7 linked regions of the Kluyveromyces lactis genome follow. The protein of the gene in region 3 purifies or fractionates together with the protein of the main gene of each other region. This does not show direct contact. Links are inferred from orthologs where the notes say so. Each region holds a gene or a part of one and is shown on either strand. Other genes may lie near its edges. The genes, in order: DBP9, CBF5, MAK21, DBP6, UTP20, RSA3 and ERB1.

Region 1 (3,420 bases), on a different chromosome or scaffold from region 3:
TGGCATATCTGCCAAATGTTTGGTGACGTAGATGTATACATTGACGAAGAAAACGTCTCATTGAAGAACATCAATCCCGAATTCAAGACGAGGAAGATAAAGAAGGGTGAACTAGAAATAAAAATCATGGGAGATGTAATATTAAATATAGTTGACAATGTAGCTACATTGCAATGGACTCAGAATGTTATCAGTGATTCAGTCGCGGATAGTGTCATGGCAATTCTACTGAGTGTCGAGAGCGCTCCAGCAAGTATCAAAATGAGTTCGAAGTCATGTGGACATCATCATGGACACGATGATCACACGACTAAAATTAAGAACATATCGAGAGTTTTCAAGGAACAGTTTGGTGATACTTTTACATTATTTTTGAATGAGGAAGACTCCAAAGAAGAAATAAAAGGCACTATCAACTTAGGAAAAACAACAGCATGTATAAACTTCTCAAAAATGGTTGTGGAAGAATGTAACTCTAATCCATTGAAAGGTAGAATAGAGAGTTTATTAAAAATTGGCTCCGACTTGGTGGCCCCATTGTGTTAATCTGTCTCATATATAGATATGATTATATATGAGCTAGTCATTAATCATCTTTTTGCATTAACTATATACTTTTCAACCCTATACTGCCATCTTGCCAAGGTGTTCCTCTGTACTAAATAATCTATTAAAACTTTAAAGATGCATTCAAGTTTCAATTAACTGAATGAACATATCGTTTTCGACAAGTTACAAAAGACACCAAGAGGACAAAAAACCATTTACTAAACTACTAAACGCGATATATATATATATATTCTCATTATAACAGTAAATTTTAAATCAATCTACCAATACCATGGCAAAATCAGAGCTACAGTGAGGTATTTCATTCACATTGCCAATCCAGAAGAGACAAGATAACTCAATCACGTGACTCATAAATCCTTTTGCCTGTGTAGTTTCTTTTTGCACCTCAAGAAAATTTTTGGGAAGCTCATCTCATCTCATCCAGAGTCTGAACGTACAAGAGCTGTAAAACAGGCTAAATGGGTCTCAACTATCAGCAGCATTAACCTTTTGATCGAAACTTACAACCGAGGTTATAGTTAAAGTGTTCGACGAGAGCTAGAGTCCAGAAAAACGCTTCAATATGGCTCAAACAAGCGCTTCCCAGGGATACATTGATGATTCTTCTTCTTTCGATTCGTTCCACTTGGATTCACGTTTATCACAAGCCATCCGCAGTATCGGCTTCAAACACCCTACTTTGATCCAATCCAGTGCGATACCATTAGCTCTTCAAGAGAAAAGGGATATCATAGCGAAAGCTAGTACCGGCTCTGGTAAAACTTTAGCATATTTGATACCAGTGATTCAAACAATTTTAGATCATAAGAAGGCAGATCAGAATGATGAAGGTGCCACTCTAGGGGTAATATTGGTCCCAACTAGAGAATTGGCTCAGCAAGTTTTAGAAGTTGTTGAAAAGCTCATTGTTTTCTGTTCTCAAGAAATTAAATGCTTAAATCTTTCATCGGGTAATGTATCGGGAAACTTATTGAAATCTTTACTTACCGAAAATCCAGAAATATTGATAGCTACGCCGGCCAAGTTAGTAGATTTACTAGATGCGCAAGATGTTAATATTGACAGGTTGAAGTTCTTGGTTATCGATGAAGTTGATTTGGTGTTAACTTTCGGATACCAAGAGGACCTTACGAAGATTTCAGAACGCTTACCATTGAGAAAGAGTTTACAAACTTTCTTGATGAGTGCCACTCTAAATGACGATATCCAACACTTGAAGCAGCAATTCTGCCGTTCACCAGCGATTTTGAAACTTAATGACGACGAAGTCAACAAAGATCAAACAAAGCTTATTCAATATTATGTGAAGGTTGGAGAATTTGATAAGTTCCTATTGTGTTATGTGATTTTCAAACTGGGACTAATTAAGGGTAAGACATTAATCTTCGTTAACAATATCGATAGAGGATACAGACTAAAGCTAGTTTTAGAACAGTTTGGTATTAAATCTTGCATTTTGAACAGTGAACTGCCAGCAAATTCAAGACAGCATATCGTAGAAGAATTCAACAAGAACGTTTATCAACTGTTAATAGCTACAGACGATACTGAATATATCAAAGAAGAAGACGAAGACTTAGAATCAGAAAAAACTGAGGATGGTTTAGTTGAGGTTGTCGATGATTCCACTGTTACTACGAAAGACAATGCAAAGAAACAAAAGAAGCCAAAGCTAAACGTGGAGAAAGACAAAGAATATGGTGTATCTCGCGGTGTGGACTTCAAAAATGTTGCCTGTGTATTAAACTTTGATCTACCAACCACTGCAAAATCGTATGTACATAGAATTGGTAGAACAGCTCGTGCAGGGAAGTCAGGAATTTCTATTTCTTTTGTTGTTCCTTTGAAGGAATTCGGGAAGCATAAACCATCTATGATCAAGAGTGCTAAGAAGGATGAAAAGATACTAGGCAGAATTATAAAACAACAGGCTAAATTAGGCTTTGAACTACAGCCTTACAACTTTGATATCAAACAGGTCGAAGGTTTCCGTTATAGAATGGAAGACGGTTTCCGTGCAGTAACTCAGGTTGCTATTAGAGAGGCAAGGATAAAGGAGTTAAAACAGGAACTTTTGGCAAGTGAGAAACTAAAGAGACATTTTGAAGAGAATCCTCATGACTTAGAGAGTTTGAGACATGACAAGGAGTTACATCCTGCTCGTGTACAACAGCATTTAAAAAGAGTTCCGGACTATCTTTTACCAGAAACTGCTAGGAAAGATAATAAGAAGATCGGTTTCGTTCCATTCCACAAAAATTCGCATAGAAAGAACGGAAGAGTGGTTAAGAAGAAGGGGAATGTCCAAAGAAAGGGTAAATCTGATCCTTTGAAAAGCTTCAAATAGATATTCAATTAATTACGACCAGCCTATTTAACATTAGCACTAGGAATATATAAGTATAGATCAAATTCTTGATAAATTTGGAACTATCCTATCATACCACCATCTAATTGCTAGTTCATTGTGAGAATGTGATATATACTCCCATAATTTAGTAATGATATGTTCTTTCATTAGAGGCGGAAGAGTTCGGGCTAATTCGTTACATGCATCTAACCAATCCCATAAGTATTCATCAGGCACATTGTGGAATTGTTCTATGAGACATTGTATGCTAGTGGATTTCATTTGTAAATTTTCAGTGTTGATTATTCTAATATAGGTCGAATGAATTAGATCCCGGATTAAGTCATTGTCATAATTAGAAAGATATCTTATAGTTGGAAGTATGCTTTTCCAAATTACAATTAATTGTTTTTCTGTCATTAAAGATGCACTGCATTGTCTGAAACAATCATGTAAGTATAGCCTCAATCTTTTGAGTTTAAAGTTTGTGACATCTG
Region 2 (3,108 bases), on a different chromosome or scaffold from region 3:
ATGAAAACATAGTTTTAAAGTCAAAACATGACGAGGTTATCAAAAAGAAGAAGGAAGACCTTGCATTTTTCAATGAGAAGTTTCAAAAAAGGTTGTTAGCGATGAAACGTGAAATAGATAAAAATGCTGACATGTATCATAATGAACTACAAAGCTACAGGACTAATTACGAGAAAACTTTAAGTAGTGCCTTAAAAGTTACTCTTAAAGCAGAATCTGCGCTTAGTGCCATATACAGCAATAATGTGGATAGATTCGGGTCTACAAACCGGACTTTGAATTATTTTATGAAGAAAAGAGATATGTTCCAAAATATCAGAGACAATATGGTCTCCAACAAGCCCAAACCAGAATACAAACCTGCGATCACCATTACAAGTGTTAGTGATGGCATAGAAAATAAAGACAATAGAAACGAAGAGTTACACTACATATCAGAACAAAAACAAGGTTTTAATGATTCACTCCGTGAGCTTAAAGTAGCCAATGTGAATAGCAACTGTTCCTCAAGGTCGAAACACAACGCTAAACAAATTATACAAAAGCTCCGAGAGTGGAAGCAAAACCAAAACACATCAGAGCTATCGCCAGACAAAGAAGATTCCATATTTTCAACTGGAATTGAGACAGATTATTCAACTTCAAATATCGCACAGTTATCCACTAGGAACTGGGCTAGCGCTTTGAAGAACAACTATAACGCCAAGTACTTGGAATCTATCTGAATGAAAACAGCGTACTAAGTTAACAGAATTTAACCTAACATAATGAACATATTAGCAGCTAGTTTAGTCCATTAAATAAAAATGCAAACTCACTTCCTAGAAGGCTATAAAAACTACTCTCACTTGGCAATGCTATTTCCAATGTCTGTCATATATACTTAAACGTCAAGGTGAATATAATTCATTACCCGGAAATAATTGCTTTTTGAGATATCTGAAAATTTTCTACCTGAAGAAAAAAATTTGATGAAGACGATGAGATGAGATGAGCTTTAACAAGAAAAGTATAGAGTTCTATTAGAAGTAGATTCATCTTACTGGACTAAAAACTGTCACTTTAGTGTAGATTCTGCTTTACGATATTGTTGCTACTATCCTTTTATTGTTTTCTCTCGATATTTGAAGGAGATAGTGTACTGGATTGTTCGTTAGAAAGCTAATAAGTAAGATAGAGATCGATGTCTGACGAATTTGTTATTAAGCCAGAGAGTGTTTCACCATCTAGTAACACTAGTGAGTGGCCTTTATTGTTGAAGGACTATGACAAACTATTAGTCAGAAGTGGTCATTACACACCAATTCCAGCTGGTGCCTCTCCTTTGAAGAGAGATTTGAAGTCATATATCAGTTCTGGTGTCATCAATTTGGACAAACCTTCAAACCCATCTTCTCACGAAGTTGTTGCTTGGATCAAGCGTATCTTGCGTTGCGAAAAAACAGGTCATTCTGGTACTTTAGATCCTAAAGTCACTGGTTGTTTGATCGTCTGTGTTGACAGAGCTACCAGATTGGTCAAGTCTCAACAAGGTGCTGGTAAAGAGTATGTTTGTATCGTTAGATTGCACGATGCCCTTAAGGACGAGAAGGAATTGGGCAGAGGTTTAGAAAATTTGACTGGTGCTTTGTTCCAAAGACCTCCTTTAATTTCTGCTGTTAAGCGTCAATTACGTGTCCGTACCATTTATGACTCCAACTTGATCGAATTTGACAACAAGAGGAACTTGGGTGTTTTCTGGGCTTCCTGTGAAGCTGGTACTTATATGAGAACTTTATGTGTCCATCTTGGTATGCTTTTAGGTGTCGGTGGCCATATGCAAGAGTTGCGTCGTGTTAGATCCGGTGCTTTGTCCGAAAACGATAACTTGGTCACCCTACATGATGTTATGGATGCACAATGGGTATACGATAACACCAGGGATGAATCCTACCTAAGAAAGATCATTCAACCATTAGAAACTCTATTAGTCGGTTACAAAAGAATTGTTGTCAAAGATTCTGCTGTTAACGCTGTTTGTTACGGTGCCAAGTTGATGATTCCAGGTCTACTTCGTTATGAGGAAGGTATTGAATTATATGACGAAGTTGTATTAATCACCACCAAGGGTGAGGCCATTGCAGTTGCCATTGCTCAAATGTCTACTGTCGATTTAGCTACTTGTGACCACGGAGTTGTTGCCAAGGTTAAGAGATGTATCATGGAAAGAGACCTATATCCAAGAAGATGGGGTCTTGGTCCAATTGCCCAAAAGAAAAAACAAATGAAGGCTGACGGTAAGCTAGACAAATATGGCCGTGCCAACGAAAATACTCCAGAGACCTGGAAGAAGACTTACGTTTCATTGGAGAATGCTGAACCAACTACCGCCCCTGCATCCAAATCAGAAGAAAAACCACTGATCAAAGAAGTAGAAAAGAAGGAAGTCGAACAGAAGGAAGAATCAAAGGAAGAATCAAAGACACCAGAAGAAAAGAAGGACAAGAAGGAAAAGAAGGAGAAGAAGGACAAGAAGGAGAAAAAGGAAAAGAAGGAGAAGAAGGAGAAGAAGAGAAAGGCTGACGATGATGAGTCTTCCGAGAAGAAGAAGAAGAAGTCAAAGAAATAAACGACTACAATCTAAGTCCTTCATATCATCGATCGAAATTTCAAAACTGCATAGAGTTTATCATTTAGGTTATGTACACTGTAGAATATTTTTAATCATTGAAAAACGTATTTCGTCACGACTGTTTTTTGTACCCTGTGTCGATGTTGTATATCATTGTATTCGTATATATAAATTTGTAAATTATTTATGCGCGTGTGAAGACACCATTACGTCTTCAATTGAAGTAATGGCAAAAAGTAATGGTAAATGTATGAGGTAGATAGAAGATTTGATAATAATACTTGGAGTTTTTTTTTTTTTGGCAGACATCAATTGTTCGGAACCAAATAGAAGTCGGGAAACTTGCAGATTGGTATGTCTTTTATTTGCATGATGTCATTTGCTCAATAAAAAGGTAAATGAAGGTTAAAATCTATGCAAATGGTTACATTGTGAACAGAAGTCGAGGTGTCACAATGAAACGTCCCGTTTCTTACTTTACCAGTATTAACAATCAT
Region 3 (4,210 bases):
GTTCTAATGATAGAAAAAAGCAGCATGAGATTCGAAGTAACTCTTCAATTTTTCATGGCATCGTATGCTCGGTCTCTCGTTCACACACCATCCATCCTTTCACTCCTTTCCCCGGTGTGTGTTTGTCGTCATCTACCTATATTGGATTTATGACTCTGTAATAGAAAAAGGCAAAGAAACGTCACAAAACATCATAGCATCGCTACAGCATTCGATGGAAAATCCAGAATTAGCTTGAACGGACAGCTTAAGAAGCTTTATCTTCCCCGTCAATTGCCATCATTGTTCCCATATCATAAGGATCAGCTTTATCATCTTATTACTTTTATCACGCCATTATTACCATTAGCACTCTATTTTTATTTTCATTTCAGTGAAATGATGATGAAAATCAGAAAAAACACAAAGACAAATGCCATTGCAGTTATTTTTTTATACGTTTCCTTTGTCCATTCATTAGGATACCAATTGTCATTGTCTTACGAATATATAGATATTCTTCGCTATCGCTACTTAGAAAGAAAATCTCGTTTGTCTTATTCAACTTTTGAAATGTACAAGTTTGAGTTATTTTTAGGCAGGTCAATGGGTTCGTATCTATGACCCTAATGTCCCTCTAAAACTACACCTTGTATTTCGAGGTAATCAACTCGACTTGAACCTCTTCTCTTGTATGCACAATGAAAAGAAGAAGAAGTATAGTAGAAGTATTCCTTTACCAAGAGTTGTTCTCAATACGTAACTTACCTTGTTCACCTCGAGCTGGTGCATCTGAAACCATGAGTTTCCAATCAATTCATGCAAATGCACGTCTATTTCTGCCCCAAGAATGTATATGTATGTGTGTCAATGCTTATTGATGCATGCACCATTGGCAACTAATGGCACCATTGGCTTCCACCATGCACGTCGTTTGTGCGGGTAATGGCGAGGTCCCAAAAAACATTCTTTAATTGGGATTGATTCCAGTAAAGAAATTCCAATGCAGAGAGGCGGATACTTGAGGGAAGTACATACATTGTGCAACTTTTGATTCAACTTACTTTCACGCTTTACCTACTCCTGAGCATGTCCATTGGCTCGTAACGCTCTCGGCAAACCATGTGACAAGCAGATTCCCCGCTTCTTGGTCTCACTACTACATAGAATGCTTTTGTAAATACTAAACGAGAGAGACAAACTCATTACCCGGATAATCGTTAATCACGTGATGAAAAGAAACGACAAAAATTTTCTACCTTTACACCAAAATCAAGCTCATCTCATCTCATCTCATCTCATCTCATCTCAACTCTTATTATGCGCTCAGACTGTGTTTGTTGATATACACAGAGGCCACTTCTCTGTTTGTCGTTTGATTGATCTATTGCTTGGAAAGAAGCAACACTCGATAACAAGTGCAAATCTGGAATGAGTCTTGATTTATCCAAATTGAAGGAGAAAGTGTCCTCCAAATTGGGAGCTTCAAAGGCCAAAGACACTAAGCCTAAGAAGAGTAAGAAGCAGGGCGAAAAAGAGACAGACGTTACTCCAGCTAAAGAGGAAACTGCTGTCACCAATGAAGAATTGATCCGTGAAGCTCTGTCTCTTGGAGCCTCTGAAAAAGATGTCCAGCTTGTTGATGGTGTTGACGACGATGCCAGTGAGATTGAATTCAATGAAGCCGATGAAGAAGTTGATGACGAGTTTAAGAGCGATTTCAGTGCTTTATTGAAGAATATGGGATTCGATAAACTACCTGAACCTGAAGTTGTAGAAGAACCAACAGTTACTGAGGATGCAGGCAAAGAAGAGAAAGATATTGAAGAGGAGGAGGTAGAAGTTGAAGAAGAAGAAGAAGAAGAGACGGTAGAGAAAGAGGAGGAACCACTTAGTCCTAAACCAGCAGAAAAAAAAAAGGAAGATCAATCCGACATGATCACTCAAACTCATATTGTTCAAAGTGATAAATTACTTGTTCCATCAGATTTGTTGTGGTACGAAGTTCCTTTGGACCCTGAATTAACAAGAGAACAGGATCCGCTAACGAAAGAACAGATAGATAAGTTATACCAGCGTGGTAAAGAGGCCTTAGAATTAGATAACACTAATTACTACGAAGAATTTACCAAGAACTCATCTCAACGTAAGTTTATGTCCCAGATCTTAAGCGATGGTACGTTGAACGATAAAATTAGTGCTTTGACTTTATTGCTACAGGAATCTCCATTGCATAATATCAAATCTCTTGATTCTTTGATATCCTTTTGCGGGAAGAAGTCAAGAAATTCCGCATTACAAGCTTTGAATGCTCTGAAGGATTTGTTCTTAAATGGTCTGTTACCTGACCGCAAGTTAAAATACTTCAAGAACCAAAACCTTTCCATGCTACTGAATAAGAGAACTTTAGCTATTTTATATTTTGAGGATTACTTGAAGGGTCTATATTTCAAGATTTTGGAAATCTTTGAGAAATTATCCCATGATCCTATCATCTATGTCAGAATGCAAGTGCTAACACATATCTTTGACCTGCTAACAGCCAAACCAGAACAGGAATTCAACTTGTTGAAACTTGGTGTTAACAAATTAGGTGACATTGATAACAAAGTAGCGTCAAAGGCTTCCTTCAAACTTTTGAAACTTGAAACTCAACATCCAAATATGAAATCAATTGTGGTAGACGCTGTTGTCGATATTGCCATAAGGCCTCAAGCTGACTATCATACTACATACTATTCCGCATTGACACTTAATCAAACAATTTTGAAACGCTCCGAGAAGAATCTAGCAAATCAGCTAATCAAGACCTATTTCACTTTATTCGAGAAATTCTTAATCCAAACTGATGCTGATAACGAGGAATCAAAGAGTGAAATCAAGGAATCCGATAAGTCATATGAAAAGAAGAGAAAGAAGAACTTCAAGAAGGGTAAAAAGGGTGGTAAGTCTGTCATTGAAGAAAAAAGTGCTCAAGAAGTTATCGAGGAAAAAAATACCAAATTATTCGGTGCTATTCTAACTGGTTTGAATCGTGCTTTCCCATTCTCTGATATGCCGGGATCCGTGTACGAGATACATCTTGATACATTGTTCAAGATAACACATGCGTCTAATTTCAACACTTCAATTCAAGCATTAGTATTGATTCACCAGGTTGTCGTGAAGACAAACATCACAAGTGATAGATATTACAAGACATTATACGAATCCCTACTCGACCCAAGATTGGTGTCGTCATCGAAGCAAGGTATTTACTTAAACTTGCTTTACAAATCTTTGAAAGATGATAAAGACATTGGAAGAGTGGATGCTTTCGTAAAACGTATATTGCAAGTCTGTGCCCATTGGTTGAACATCGGTGCCATTAGTGGTATGTTCTTTTTGTTGATACAACTTTCAAAGAGTTTACCGCAGATCAGAAATGTTCTAATCAACTCACCACTAGACTCTGTTTACGAATCTGATGACGAAGATTCCAGGGATAAAACTAAGGAAAAACCTGGTTACGATAGCCGTAAACGTGATCCAAAATATGCCAACGCTGAAAATTCATCGCTTTGGGAGATAAATCAATTCTTGTCCCATTTCCATCCTACTGTGCAGTCGTACGCACAAGGGTTCTTCGACGGTGACACTCAAGAAACAAGAGAGTTAGTCAAACCCGATCTTGGCCTATTCACGTTAGCCCATTTCTTGGATAGATTCGTGTACCGTAACGCCAAGCAAAAGCCAACCACTAGAGGTTCATCTATCATGCAACCTTTGGGAGGTGTACACACTGGTTCGTTATTAGTGAAGGCCAGCGATACCACATTGCACGAAGTACCTGCTAACACGGAGAACTGGTTAAGTAAGAAGGTGCAAGATATCAAGCCAGATGAAAAGTTCTTCTATCAATATTTCTCTACAAAGACTAATGCCATCAAATCTACCAAGTCAGGTGCAGAGGATGAAAACGGTACAGCTGAATTCGACGAGGAAAGCGATTTGGACGAAGATGAAATTTGGGATGCTTTAGTGAAGTCAAGACCTGACGTCGAAGGTGACGAAGAGGACAGCGATGTTGAGTTCAGTGAGGACGATTTCTCACAGGATGATTTCGGATCGTCATCCGAAGATGTCGATATTGATCTCAAAGACCTTGCATCTTCGGGAGACGAAGATGAGGCATCAGAAGCTGATCTTGAAGCTGAAGAAGGTGAACCAGAAGACATCAGTGACTTCGATC
Region 4 (3,733 bases), on a different chromosome or scaffold from region 3:
CAGAAGACTTGGAGGTCAATTCCAAACTGACTCCTTCGGTGATACTAGATTTTTGAACAATTTTGCAAATACACGATCCTTTGGCGATCGGATCGGAAAACGTGATGGTCTAACGTGCGAGCCGGACATTTATTCGTACCTCATTGGACCAACCAAAATGTTACCACATGCTGAAAGATCAAAATTGCAGTTCGGTGGTGATGAATGTTTCTTATGTTTAGTGACAGACGGAGTAACTGAATTGATGAGCGATCAAGAACTCTGTGATCTCATCACCTCCACAGTGAACAATAGAGGTTTGAAAACTGCTTCTCCACACTTCTGTGCTCAGGAAGTTTTACAATATGTTATGGCTATTAGCTCTAAACATTCTGATAATGCTACTTGCGTAATTCTGCGGTTACCGAACTGGGGAAATTGGCCTGTCATTGATCGCACTGGTGCGATTAGAGAGGAAAAGCTACTAAGTGGTGTATCCGGTGGAGAAAGATCTAGTGGTTGAAAAAAGTCCACAAACTTAATCATAAATTAAATTCAAAAGAAACCTCAAGTAAAGAGTGTATATTCTATTTTACTTCAATTATTATATATAGTACTCGTTATGATTAACATTTGCATCTATTTAACAATGAGAAACACCATTAACTCCCAATTAATCGAGAGCACTTGTTCAATAAATCATTTCTTAGTAATAGATACAGTTACGTATGGAGTACACGGTGGTACATGAACTTCCAGGTGTGATTTTATATACATGCTGCTGTCTGACTAACTTTGTGCTTTTCATAAATGTCAAATCATTTGTTCTTAGTTTGAGTATAACTGAATCTCTTTCTTGTTGGTACGAATTCTCCTAGCTTACTTCCTACCATATCTTCTGTCACTTCAAACGCGACATACTCCTTACCATTATGCACTTGGAATTTCAGTCCGACAAATTGAGGTAATATGGTGGCAGATCTGGCATTTGTTCTAATGGGCGTACCTTTGGCCAATGCTTCTTTTATTGGTAATGGGACTATATTTGGACCTTTCCATACAGAACGTGATAGTAATCTCAATGACGGGAACATTTTATGACGTTATGAGTGTTATCGTAGACGCGAGATATTTGTCTAACTGCTGGAACCTTTGGCTGACTGATATCATGGTAGTGACTTAACTCTATTATATCTTGTCGTTATTTCAAGTTTTACAGATTGAAATTTTTTATGAATTCCGTTCTGAAATAAAATAATAGACGAATGGCGATGAGATGTAATATGATGCGATGAGCTTCAGGAATTTAGAAGGTCAGTAACAGCATAGCGACAGCATAACGATAGCATCCAGTCAATAACATGTTTGCTGCAAGGTTTGATCCTACTAAGGTGACTGAAAATGTACTAACAGCTGAAGTCACACAAATAAAAGAACCCACTGTGCCCCAAAAGAGGAAAAGAGATGCGGAAACTGATGATGAAGGCTCTGGTGAGGACGATGCTTCCAGCAGTGAGGATGATGCTTCCAGCAGTGAGGATGATTCCGATACAATTAGTGAGCAAGATGAAAACAAGGTTGCATCTGTTGCGCCTACAGAAACTTCTCAGCAATCAGTTGATGCAAAGCACAGTTCCGTATTAAATAGATTTCAACAGACTCTTTCCCTGCAAGGTGCGTTGAGCGCTTCAGACAAGGTCAGTAGTGACAACGATGTACACGATGAGGACGTATCCATGAAAGATGTTCACAGTCTTACCCCAATTCCTCAACCGGCCAAAGTGACCAATGAAGCCTTGAAGCTTCTAGATCCGTCTACATATAAATCCACTGCGTGGGATGCAGCAACCAAAATTCATTACGATAGTAAAATGGTTAAACAATTCGATAGCTACGAAGGTGAATTAGATGCACGTCTGCTTAAAAATATTACCTCCAATTTCTCATCTGAAACGTTCCCTATTCAGACCATTCTATTCGATAAAGTGCTCCCGCTTCTAAACTCATCTTTTAAAGCAAACAGAAAACTTTTCACAAGACGAGTTGGTGATATATTAGTAAACGCATCAACTGGTTCCGGTAAGACCTTAGCATATTCTGTCCCTTTGGTTCAAATTTTGAGATCTAGAACAGTGAATAAAGTTAGGGCAATAATTTTGGTTCCTACTAAAATTTTAATTCATCAAGTCTACGATTGTCTCTCTAAACTAAGTCAAGGGACCAGTCTCAATGTATCAATGTCGAAACTCGAGAACTCCTTGAAAGAAGAACACAACAAATTTTTGTATAACTCTCCAGACATTCTAATCATCACTCCGGGCAGACTGGTCGATCACTTGCAGATGGAATCATTTGACCTAAAAACTTTGAAGTTCTTAGTCCTTGATGAAGCAGACCGACTATTAAATCAGTCATTCCAAAATTGGAACCAAGTGCTTTTCCACCATTTGACAAACGATAAGCAGGATAAACGTCCAGGAAACGTAATCAAAATGGTCTTTTCTGCTACTTTGACTACGAATGCAGAAAAGTTGTACAATTTGTATCTCCACAACCCCAAGATCTTCCTCACAGATTCTGTTAAATTATATTCAATACCTAAGAAATTGCAAGAACTCAATGTCAATATTCCTACTGCTAAGAGTCTGTTCAAGCCACTACTCTTACTAAGAATAATACACGACATCAAGAGCAGTGCTTCGAGAAACGCTAAAATATTAGTGTTTGTGAAGAGTAACGAAGCTTCGATCAGATTAGAAAGCTTATTACATGCCATGTTAGGATCAGGAATAATTGAAGATGAGTATAATATGTTCCTTTCATCAATTCATTCGAACATCTCGAAGGGTAGTAGCAGAAAACTAATACAGGAATTTGCATCCTCAGAACAAAAGAAATCAGTTTTAATTTCAACGGACATAATGGCTAGAGGTATCGATATAAATGAAATTACTCATGTGATAAACTATGATCTACCGATCTCCTCTCAACAATATGTTCATCGTTGTGGTAGAACTGCAAGGGCTAATACTGAGGGTATAGCAATTAACCTTCTAGTTGGTAAGGGTGAACAGAAATTCTGGTCACAACATATTGACACTGACCTCAGTCGTGACATTGATGGTTATCAACCATCTGCTTACCTTGACGAAGAAAAGTTGTCTGAATTATTCTCTATTGAAGACACTTTGAAGGATACGTACAAGGGTTGTATCAAACAACTCCAAACCAGCAAAGAAGCAGACAGTAAATAGCATATTATCACTAAATAAGTAAAAAGATCATAGTAACTGTACCCCATTCTTGGGGCTCGTCTAAGTGATATTTGAGAAGGCACTAATGATCTTATACTTACTATCTATTTTGCCTCTTCTGATGAGTTGATCATGTGACATGTTATTTATTGTTCGAGCAGTGTTTTTCCTCCACTTTAGAACTTTCTTTACCTTAAATTGATATGTGATTGATCGTTCAGAATCACTGAAACACTATAAACCTTCAAAGTACCTTAGGCAGGTTAAACTGTCTTAACTAGTGCTTGTTAACACATATAAGTAGTCAGAGAATAACCGCTAGATACTTCTGATGTCACCGTCAAAATATTTACTAACTCCTCCGGAGGAATTACATCCGCTCACCGACTCCAACCCACAAATCTATCCTGATTTTGATCCGTGGATTCACACCAAAGAGGAGGATAAGATACTTAAAGAGTTCGTGGCAAAAGGCTACTATACTGCTTCTAGGGTAAACT
Region 5 (4,024 bases), about 440 kb from region 3:
CCATGACACGTATCGAAGTGGTTGTTGTCCGTTACGCCTTCTTATATAGTTTATTCTTATCGTAGTGATGACAAATGCCAGTAAGATGAACATGAATATAACGAATATTACCCACCGTGCCCATTCCCAGTGGGAGGAACACGAGAGACCCCAGCAGTTGTTATCAATATCAGCAGATGTAGTGGTAGCACTTTGAACAGCGCTGACAACACTGGATGGCGTAGATGTAGTTGTGGTTGACATAGCAGGCGAAGTAAGAGCAATATTAGAACCCGGAAAAGATATACTTCCCTTGTTTATTCAATTAGTAAGTTCAGGAGTCCTGCTCTTGGTGTTGGGTTAGCCCTCTTTGTTTTCCGATCCTTTTGATCGAAGGTCTTGTATATCAACAGACAAAAAAGGGGACGAGAAGCGACTTGTAACAAAAAATCCAGTGGGAAATCCTCCTTTCAGCGATAGCTTCGTGTGCAGGTTGGATTTCAAACTCCTATCGACTGCCCTCTGGAGTCCTGCTGGCATATCCTTGTTGCAGCAAGAGTAGCGAGGAAATCTGATCGCGAATCATGACAAATTTCATTTAAAAACGACTATTCCCCATATGCAAATATATATCAGTATATATAATATATCAAGAGACCGATGGAGAGAAATACTGGAAATTTAAGAGAAAGGATATACCTATTTTACCACGAATGTCCAGAAAATGTTGCAGAGCCTCAAATATAACCAAGTTGAGTTCCAAAATCAGCACTACTTCTGCGCTACATAATGTTTACCAATTTTTGTATAATGAGACGATGGAGTTTCTTATTAGTTGAAGTTCTATCATTACCTCGCGATTCTAGGTTGGATACTCTCAACTTATATATTGTAGCGGTTCTACTATTAGTACTCCCACAACTATCGTACCTTCCTGGCCCGTTAAAAACACCTCATAAATGATCAGTGCTGGCGGTCAGTCCTGTGGCCGTAGTCGTCCTCCAGATCGGCCCTGCGTAAAAAGAAACTGGATTTCTTCACGTTCCATTCTAGGTAAAGGGAAAATTTTCAGAATTTGGAAAAGCATGAAAACTCATCTCATCTCATCTCATCGCATAAACAACAAACACAAGAGGGTCTACACACAGTAACTGTCAATCACCAGTCATACAAGACCTGCTTCAGTACATTGATATAACATTGAGGACTAGTCTTGTTCTGTTTCCCATTTTAAAATAATCAACCATGGGTAAGCAAAAGACTACAACGAAATCTACCAAGAGGTATAGATACTCATCTTTCAAGGATAAGATTGATGATTTGAAGATTGAACCTGCTAGAAATTTGGATAGAAGGGTTCATGATGATGTAGAGACCTCCCATTTTCTATCCTCTTTTGAACACTGGAAGGATATCAATTTGAGTGGGAATTTCGGATCCTTTATGGATTCGGTAGAGAAATTGGTTCAAACTTTGCCTCAACTTTTGTACCATGAGGATGAAATCTTTGCGAATTTGGAGCAATATATAGATAAACACGATGAGAGATCTTTACAGCCGTTGTGTGATCTCTTGGCTCAGTTCTGTCATGATTTGGGACCTGATTTCATGAAATTTTATGAAAGGGCGGTTACATGTTTGATTAACTTATTGGAAGCTGCCACTGAATTTGAAAACTCAAACGTGTTCGAATGGGGGTTCAATTGTTTGGCATACATTTTCAAGTATTTGTCACGTAGTTTGACTCAGAATTTGACGCCCACTTTCGACCTCTTATTTCCGTTATTGTCACATAAGAAAGAATACCTCTCCAGATTCTCCGCTGAGGCTCTATCGTTTCTAATAAGGAAATCTCCACAGAAACATTTGGCCACTTTTGTCACATTTTCGTTCCAAAAATTGTGCTTGTTAAAGAATGATAATTTTTATGACGGTTTGCAAACTTTATTTGGTGAATCATTGAAGAGTACTTCCGAGGCATTGCATTCAAGATCAAATATAATATTCCAAACTCTTCTGCAAATCGCATTCGAGAAAAATTCAGACATAGTATGTGTCTCTTTACTTTGTGACATCATTCTAGATATCACTAGACACACTTCTGCGGAGAATATTCAGAGTTTATACGATTTGATCCTTGAATTCTTGGACGAGAATTTGAACGGATCTAGTGCTGCTGTTGGTAAAACGTTGAGAATGTTATCTACGCTATCGTTTGCCGAGAGTGGTAGAAAAGTACCAAGTTGGGAAAAGTTATCTGGTGTTCTACGTAAAGCCACTCAACATGATAGTCTAAATGAATCACATGCAGATCTAGTGTCGTTTACATTTGCCATCGTCTTACGTAATGCTGACGTTAAAACGCTAACTTCTCTGCATAAATACATGTTCGAACTCTACTTGACGAAATTCTCAGCTCATTTCATTGAATTCTTCAAGATTTCTATGGATATCGATAAGGGTAAAGTGCTTTCTTTCAACGGGTTGAAATACTTGCAGAAATACGTTAATAACTGCTGGGCAGATGGTGCTCAGAAGATTGCATTGTTCCTTTTAGAATCGGAATCTTCACAAGATTTGGACTTGGTAAATCATCTCTCTGCACCGGAATTCGCAACCCAGTTGTTGAAGGATATCAGCGATGCTAATGTAAACGATGAACAGGAAATTTTTTCTGTGTATTGGAAACTTATAATATTAAAGACATTGAAACAAGAGGATGAGGAAATCATTATGCATTTGCTAGAGAGGGTTTTCCAAAAGGATGTGTTATCGGATTTTGAAAAGGATTTTGTTGGTTTCCTACTTCAAGCATTAACATTTAAAATCACTTCATCTGAGTCGGTCATGGCTGCAAAATTATTGAATATTCTAGTTCCGAGAATTATAGAGCTACAGAACAGTAGATATTTTATTGAAGGTATTTCACATGTTTTATCATATTTGGAGGACGACACTGATATTTTGAAATCTTTATCAAAGATTTTACCCATATTAACAGATAATCTATTACTTCCGGACAAAACCATCCGTTACGAAACCCTTAAGTTTATAATATCTGTTCTAGAAAAGCAAGGCAACTCAGTTCCCCAATTATTTTATGATCTAAGGATTTTGGAAGAAATCCCTCTGGATCTTCATACAAGCCGTGACATTACTCTCAGAGTAAGGAAACTAGGTGCAGACTTTGCCAAGATGGAAGCTGAGGATTTATTGACTAATGTCTTTTTCAAACATATGTTTGGGCTTCTAACTGTCAGATTCTCTCCAATTTGGGAAGCTATCTATGAAATAATTCCAGAAGTTTACACCAAAAACCAATCCCTTGTGTGGAGTTTGGCTATGCGTTTCCTCACTGTTCTTGATGAAACAAAGGACGTCAAATATTATAGCATTTCCAATAACATTGACCTTCAAGAACCATTCTGGACCGTTAGTATCAATAGAATGAATGACTCCATCCTTGCTTCTGACAAAGTATTTAAAAAATACTCTGCTAGCGATTCAACTATATTGGATGTTTTGGAGGAAAGAAGGAATTCTATGGTATATCCATCATTGATTAGAAGTCAGATATTCAAAGTTTTATTGTCGATTCCTAGTTTGGCAGAGCGTCATTCAAGGGACATAGTTCCTTTTTTATTTAATGAAGAAGAATCTGAAGAAATTTTTATCACAGAAGATCAACCAAGTATGGATGTACTAATTCCAACAGCATCACAATGGACTGAAAGTGATAGAAACCTTTTATTAAAGCTCGTTGGCAAATTCAAAAATATCAAATCCATTTACAAATCAGAGGAAGTGCACGATAGGTTAATGGCACTTTTGAGCAGCAGAACTACAGAAGTTCAAAAATTAGCTTTAGATGCGTTGTTTTGTTACAAGGAATCTCATATAACCAAGTACAGAGAAAACTTGAAGAACTTATTGGATGACACTTTATTTAAAGATGAAATTACCAAGTTTTTAGCAACCGATGACACCAAAACTATCCAAAAGCAAGATGAAGAAGCTGTTATGGGTTATATTGTGAGAATTCTCT
Region 6 (2,266 bases), on a different chromosome or scaffold from region 3:
GGAGGATACTTTGCCGGTGGGTTCGTCCCGTTAATACCATATTTCTTTGTTGAAACGGTGGGAACCGGTCTCCTGATCTCTATTGCATTAATGACTTTCACGTTGTTCTGGTTCGGATATTTCAAATCCCAAGTCTCAATGAACGATTGTACCCTGCAGAAAAAGTTACTGGAAGGCTTACAAATGATAGCAGTCGGTGGGACTGCTGCAGGTGCAGCTTGGTTCTTCGTTAAGGTCATCGAATGAGAGTCACAAATAAAACAAAATTAATTAATCATAATCATCCTCATCATCTCTTATTTATTTTACTTCTTCTTTTAAGCGTTCCCTAGTATCACGTACTTTTTTTTTTATCATTCCAATACGTATTCATATCTTACTCCAAATCATCAATTTGCCGTCCAGACTTTATTTGATTCATTCTAGCTGTATCGTGATAGATGGTTTGTATTTTTATTTTATTATACATGTGTTTTTAAAATGCTAGATAGATCCAAACACTATTTATCCTCTACTATTGTCTTCAAGGTCTCCAAATCAAACATATCTCCTCCGTCTTTTAGAACATTCGCTAGCATGACAAGGGTCTTCGAAGTGAAATCTGGTGCGTTTCTCAATTCGTTCATGTCATCACCATAACTCTCAAATAGCATACTCAAATATTGATTCTTTAATCCGTTCTTGTCCTTATTATTCTCTAGCAATTTATTGCTGCTTTCATCTAACGTAGCAGACATCTTATTCAAATCGATATTCCCTAGATGAATGCCATTGTTGCCAGTTAAATCGCTTGTTGTTAGTCCCACTTTATTTAATTTGTCCACAGTCTCCGAGGACAAGACGCTTCCCTCTTTTCGGCTGGCTTTTTTATCGTCCAATGCAGCTTCATCTTCTTCTTTATCCATGTCAATATCTGAAAGCGTTACATCTTCAACATCAGATGCAGCTTTCTCCACAGTTTCGAGCTTAGTATCATTATCTTCTACCGATGAATTTTCAGAATCGGAGCTGGAATCAGAACTTGAGTCGGACACGTCTTGCGTTCTTCTCTTCTTTCTTCTGTTCTTCCTCTTGTTCGTCTTGCTAATAGCTGCAATATGTCCCTCTGACATGATAGTTTCCGATAGAGCTTCTCGTTAATATGGAGGAGAGTTAACTTTAAAGTATAACTGTCAAAAATTCACAGTTGAAGTCACCTTTTAACAGAAGAAGGATGAGAGCCGATCTCATCTCATCTCATCTCATCGCTTCACATCGTCTAGTTATTTGATGAAGTTTCTTTTGCAGGGAAACAAATTCTGTCTAAAACTCAAAGCCGGGTAACAAACTTATTATTCTACTGATGGATGGCCCTTGACTGGATATGGTATCTATTCAGAGTTGATGCGGTGGGTGTGTTGTACTGTTATATGTATATATCTACATGACGACTAGTGCTATATTTACATTCTTTATAGCAATTTGTCCATTTGAACTAAAGCGTAATCTAAGATATAACTTTCTTGAACCAAGTTATCCATTCTTGAGTAATGTCTCTCTGCGTATGAGATTATTGATTCAACGATCCTTACAAGCCCAGGAATTTCGCTCAACTCTTCAATATTTTGTCTTAGAAGAATACACCTTATCATCTTTTGGGCTACTGTGTGTGTTCTTGCATTTGTATTCCAATCTCTGCACCTTTTCACTAAAAGAAGAAGTTGATCTTTATCTAGAGTCGACACAACCTCGTCAATTTCGTTGTTGAAAACTACATTTGGATCCTCATTTGAGTTGTCTACACTTTGTCTTAAGACGTTGTACAATCTCATTGGGTGATCCAAGGTCATGGCAAGCAAAAATGCGTTAGTCCAGTCACCTTCTGAGAGATAATTTTGTAATGATTGTTCTTGTTCAATCTTCAGTTTCTCTTGCTCGAGGTTACGTTCGTGTTCCTCTTCACTGTTATCCCTCCAGAACTCAAAGAAGCCGTCAGCATCTGCTGTAACGAAGGATTCACCATCGTTCATAACAGCAAGAGCCCAGATACGGTTATTGTGAGCATCTAGTGTCTTGACCGATTCACCAGTTGATAGATCCCAAATAATAACTAAACCATCAGCACCAGTACTTATCAGTTGCTTGTTCTTGTTTATGAAGGAACATCTTTGAACTGCATTGGTATGTCCTTCCAAAGTTTTTACGACGGCATATGATTCTAAGGACCAAATTTTGATGGTCTTGTCACCGGAACATGTGGCCAATAACTTGTCATATTGACAGAATG
Region 7 (4,075 bases), on a different chromosome or scaffold from region 3:
GGGTTTACTAAGCTTGACCAAGAATTTCTAGAAAAATTGGCCGCTTCAGTTTCAAAGACATGCGTATTCTAACTCATTAAGTAGTTACACTCGTTAATTATATTCTCTCAATTGATATCACAACTCTTGACCGTATATGAAGTTGCCTGTTATTGCATACCTAACATAGGGCATGCTGCCCCAGGTCCAGTGGAACAGAAGTTTTCTAGTTTTCAATGAAAAAAATGATTTCGCCCAGGATCGAACTGGGGACGTTCTGCGTGTTAAGCAGATGCCATAACCGACTAGACCACGAAACCATCTTGTGAGGTCTGTCGTAATATAGACTGAAGACAAGCCAGACGAGAGGTCATGTGAGCTAGCCAGCACACGGCAGAGTTCCAAGACGTCAGTGACTGGGCATATGGATCCTGTGGTATCCAGAAGGGATGGCCTAGATGGATCATAGACGGTCACGTGATGGTCTTGAGTGCGCGTGGAGGACGGTAGCTGCAGAGGACCTACAAGGGCATGGAGGCAATGAGTTGCCATGACGAAGTCTGACGACCATCCGAGTATATAAGTCGAGTATAAAAGGCTGAGCTATGTTGCGACCTCTTGGGGAGGTTGGACGCATATACTCAACGATCTAACTAAATAGATTATTATATTATATTCGTTATATTGTTTGATATCAACGATCCCTCATCAGGCGATTAATCAATCAACTATCATCCAAGGCATATCACAACAAGATCTGAGAGAACTACATGAGTATATGTTACATCGTTAAGAGTTTCTGAAGAAACGAAATAGGTCTCTCTTATCAGCGCCCCAAATTGGAATAATGAAGTTTACTGGAAATAGCTTCTTCAATGATGAAATTACAAACTTGAAAACGATGTTGCATCTACTAGAATAAAACTAAGATAACTGTCTATGATGCAAAAAAAATAAGAGTTAAGAATTACATTCATTGTAGGCTAGCGACCAAAGTAAATATCTTCAACGTAAGTAGAAGTATATGTGGAGTTGATTGAATACCAGTTCCCTATCTTTGCTGAAGGGTACTTTGACTTTTTCAAAATAGCATTCTTGTTCAAAACTTTGTAGAAGTAATTAATGTATCGTAATTTTCTTTCTTTTTGTTTCTTAAAATTTTCAATTTTCATCTTGAGAGATGAGATGAGATGAGCTGAAGTGAATAGACCACAGAGATAACCAGTACTTCTCAAAGTTAACGGCATCAGAAGAAGCTCTGAAAGTATAGAGAGCCAGAAAACAATACCAGAAACTATGGCCAGAAAGAATTCTTCTTTGAATGGTTCTGAATCAGCGGAGCTTGTTGTAAAAAAGAGAGTTCTCGAGGAATCTGAATTGTCCGATTCTGAAGATGAAAGAATTGAAGTTGATGGTTTAATCGATGAAGAGGCTAGCGAAAATGAAGCTGAGGAAGCTGAAGATGACGACTCTGATGCTGAATTCAATCGCTTATTAGCTGAAGAAGAAAATGGACAGGAGGAGGAGTATAATACTTCAGATTTTTCTGAAGAAGGCGATGCTTTTTCCATTACCGACAAATTGTCAAATGTAAAGTTAACAGTGATTCCAGAAACAAGCGATGAAGGCATTGTTCGTACCAAGTATTCAGATGGAAGACCAAGAATTCTTAAGTCAGAAATTAATCCTGTTTATGATAGTGATGATAGTGATGCAGAAGCTAAGAACACAATTGGTAACATCCCACTATCTGCATATGATGAAATGCCACATATTGGTTATGACATTAATGGTAAGAGAATAATGAGACCAGCCAAAGGATCTGCTTTAGATCAATTATTGGAATCTATAGAATTGCCAGAGGGTTGGACAGGTTTACTAGACAAAGACAGCGGTGCCTCTTTGAATTTGACCGAAGAAGAACTTGAATTAATCAATAAGTTGCAAAATAATCAACAGACGGACGAATCTGTGAATCCATACGAACCTTTAATCGACTGGTTCACTAGACACGAATCTGTAATGCCAGTTACGGCCGTCCCAGAACCGAAAAGACGTTTCGTTCCGTCAAAGCACGAAGCCAAGCGTGTGATGAAAATAGTCAAAGCAATCAGAGAAGGTAGAATTATCCCACCAAAGAAACTAAAGGAATTAAGAGAAAAAGAAGAACAAGACAGTCATAACTACGATCTCTGGGGAGATGCCGAAGAAATCTCTGAACATGTTATGAACTTGAGAGCCCCAAAATTGCCACCACCAACAAATGAGGAGTCTTACAACCCTCCGGAAGAGTATCTTTTGACCCCAGAGGAAATTGATGCATGGGAAAAGATGGAACCAAGTGAAAGAGAGAGAAATTTTGTGCCTCACAAATTCGCTGCATTAAGAAAAGTTCCAGGTTACTCTGAATCTGTCAGAGAAAGGTTTGAAAGATCATTAGATTTGTATTTAGCGCCTCGTGTTCGCAAAAATAAGTTGAACATTGATCCTGAATCTTTGATCCCAGAATTGCCCTCTACAAAAGATTTGAGACCATTTCCAATCCGTTGCTCTACCGTTTATGTCGGTCATAAAGGAAAAATTCGTACAATGTCCATTGATCCAACTGGATTATGGTTGGCTACTGGTTCCGATGATGGCACTGTCAGAGTATGGGAAATTCTTACAGGTAGAGAAGTTTACCAAGTCACAATACTTAATGCGGAAGAAAACAATGATGACCACATAGACGTTGTTGAATGGAATCCCGACAGTACTACCGGTATCCTTGCGGTTACTGCTGGCGAAAACATCTTCTTGCTTGTTCCACCAATTTTCGGCTTTGAAATTGAAAACACAGGTAAATCAAAGATTGAATACGGTTTTGGTTTCGATACTTTCGGAAACGTCAAAAAGAGTAATCTCAATGTGAATAGCGATGATGAGGATGACGGTGCTGAATCACATGCTGTCAAGAAACAGGTTGCTCAATGGAATAAACCAACCGAAAGGCAAGCTGCCAATGATATTTGTATCGTAATAACTTGTCGTAAATCAGTGAAAAAGCTTTCATGGCATAGAAAAGGTGATTACTTTGTCACTGTTCAACCAGACTCAGGTAATACATCAGTTTTGATTCATCAATTATCCAAGCATTTAACTCAATCGCCATTCAAAAAATCTAAGGGTATCATTATGGATGCAAAATTCCATCCATTCAAGCCACAGCTCTTGGTCTGTTCTCAAAGATACGTCAGAATTTATGACCTATCGCAACAAGTGCTAATCAAGAAACTTCTACCTGGTGCTCGTTGGTTATCTACTATTGATATTCACCCAAGAGGTGATAACTTAATTGCATCCTCGTTTGACAAGAGAGTGTTGTGGCATGATCTTGACCTTGCAAGCACTCCATATAAGACCTTGAGATACCATGAGAAGGCTGTAAGAAGCGTAAGTTTCCACAAGAAACTACCACTGTTTTGCTCAGCTGCGGATGATGGTAACATCCATGTTTTCCATGCCACGGTCTATGACGATTTAATGAAGAACCCTATGATCGTCCCGTTGAAGAAACTAACCGGCCACAAGATTGTGAATAGTTTAGGTGTTCTAGATACTATATGGCATCCACGTGAAGCTTGGCTATTCTCTGCAGGTGCCGACAAAACCGCTCGTTTGTGGACTACCTGATAGAACCCTCATGACGGGATATTTGTAAAACACTGTATACTATGGACATCATTACCTATCAATATTACAAGTAGATACTTTCTAATTAGTGTTCAAGGGAATACATTATTATCTTTGGATCAGAGCTCAAAAGGTATCCATGTCTCTCATCATTGCCATTTCCTCATCTGATGCGATATCATTACCGTTATTTGTTGTGCTGGCAACGGTCGTAATTTTACTCAATTCGTCTAACTCTTCAGCGTTAGGCAGAGCGTAGCCATTTTGTGTATGTTGCCGTATGTTTGTATCAGTGGTGGACAACATTTCATTCGTGTGCCGCTGGTGATGCGAAGAATATAGAACATCATCATCATCATCATCATCATCATCATCGTCATAGTTGCCGTCATTATTCTGATTTTTGTCTTTGTCTAGGCTGATA

The links.
Region 1: the proteins of MAK21 (region 3) and DBP9 purify together in Saccharomyces cerevisiae (affinity purification with mass spectrometry, with the first as the bait; 4 studies listed by BioGRID). This does not show direct contact. The link is inferred for Kluyveromyces lactis from reciprocal best matches to the Saccharomyces cerevisiae genes MAK21 and DBP9.
Region 2: the proteins of MAK21 (region 3) and CBF5 purify together in Saccharomyces cerevisiae (affinity purification with mass spectrometry; 3 studies listed by BioGRID). This does not show direct contact. The link is inferred for Kluyveromyces lactis from reciprocal best matches to the Saccharomyces cerevisiae genes MAK21 and CBF5.
Region 4: the proteins of MAK21 (region 3) and DBP6 purify together in Saccharomyces cerevisiae (affinity purification with western blotting; 3 studies listed by BioGRID, with this or other methods). This does not show direct contact. The link is inferred for Kluyveromyces lactis from reciprocal best matches to the Saccharomyces cerevisiae genes MAK21 and DBP6.
Region 5: the proteins of MAK21 (region 3) and UTP20 purify together in Saccharomyces cerevisiae (affinity purification with mass spectrometry, with the first as the bait; 3 studies listed by BioGRID). This does not show direct contact. The link is inferred for Kluyveromyces lactis from reciprocal best matches to the Saccharomyces cerevisiae genes MAK21 and UTP20.
Region 6: the proteins of MAK21 (region 3) and RSA3 purify together in Saccharomyces cerevisiae (affinity purification with mass spectrometry; 4 studies listed by BioGRID, with this or other methods). This does not show direct contact. The link is inferred for Kluyveromyces lactis from reciprocal best matches to the Saccharomyces cerevisiae genes MAK21 and RSA3.
Region 7: the proteins of MAK21 (region 3) and ERB1 purify together in Saccharomyces cerevisiae (affinity purification with mass spectrometry, with the first as the bait; 5 studies listed by BioGRID). This does not show direct contact. The link is inferred for Kluyveromyces lactis from reciprocal best matches to the Saccharomyces cerevisiae genes MAK21 and ERB1.

The regions. Positions count from the first base shown.
Region 1 is NC_006039.1:416,717-420,136, reverse strand, and holds DBP9 (ATP-dependent DNA/RNA helicase), read left to right. Parts: upstream 1-1,135; coding exon 1,136-2,920; downstream 2,921-3,420. Other genes in the region: cleavage polyadenylation factor subunit YSH1, read left to right, coding at 1-546; PEX8 (Pex8p), read right to left, coding at 2,981-3,420.
Region 2 is NC_006040.1:408,122-411,229, forward strand, and holds CBF5 (pseudouridine synthase CBF5), read left to right. Parts: upstream 1-1,183; coding exon 1,184-2,608; downstream 2,609-3,108. Other genes in the region: KLLA0_D04774g (uncharacterized protein), read left to right, coding at 1-725. UniProt on the Saccharomyces cerevisiae protein: Catalytic subunit of H/ACA small nucleolar ribonucleoprotein (H/ACA snoRNP) complex, which catalyzes pseudouridylation of rRNA. This involves the isomerization of uridine such that the ribose is subsequently attached to C5, instead of the normal N1.
Region 3 is NC_006041.1:1,108,069-1,112,278, reverse strand, and holds the start of MAK21 (RNA-binding ribosome biosynthesis protein MAK21), read left to right. Parts: upstream 1-1,410; coding exon 1,411-4,210.
Region 4 is NC_006042.1:665,470-669,202, reverse strand, and holds DBP6 (putative ATP-dependent RNA helicase DBP6), read left to right. Parts: upstream 1-1,340; coding exon 1,341-3,233; downstream 3,234-3,733. Other genes in the region: type 2C protein phosphatase PTC6, read left to right, coding at 1-502; RSM19 (mitochondrial 37S ribosomal protein uS19m), read right to left, coding at 798-1,073; SRB8 (Srb8p), read left to right, coding at 3,565-3,733. UniProt on the Saccharomyces cerevisiae protein: ATP-binding RNA helicase involved in the biogenesis of 60S ribosomal subunits and is required for the normal formation of 25S and 5.8S rRNAs.
Region 5 is NC_006041.1:1,547,840-1,551,863, reverse strand, and holds the start of UTP20 (Utp20p), read left to right. Parts: upstream 1-1,224; coding exon 1,225-4,024. Other genes in the region: KLLA0_E17447g (resistance to Congo red protein), read right to left, coding at 1-243. UniProt on the Saccharomyces cerevisiae protein: Involved in nucleolar processing of pre-18S ribosomal RNA and ribosome assembly.
Region 6 is NC_006042.1:1,225,808-1,228,073, reverse strand, and holds RSA3 (Rsa3p), read right to left. Parts: upstream 1,113-2,266; coding exon 501-1,112; downstream 1-500. Other genes in the region: CCC1 (Ccc1p), read left to right, coding at 1-246; U3 snoRNA-associated protein UTP13, read right to left, coding at 1,452-2,266. UniProt on the Saccharomyces cerevisiae protein: Required for efficient biogenesis of the 60S ribosomal subunit.
Region 7 is NC_006042.1:2,460,601-2,464,675, forward strand, and holds ERB1 (ribosome biogenesis protein ERB1), read left to right. Parts: upstream 1-1,275; coding exon 1,276-3,651; downstream 3,652-4,075. Other genes in the region: KLLA0_F26587g (L-methionine (R)-S-oxide reductase), read left to right, coding at 1-72; CSM3 (Csm3p), read right to left, coding at 3,778-4,075.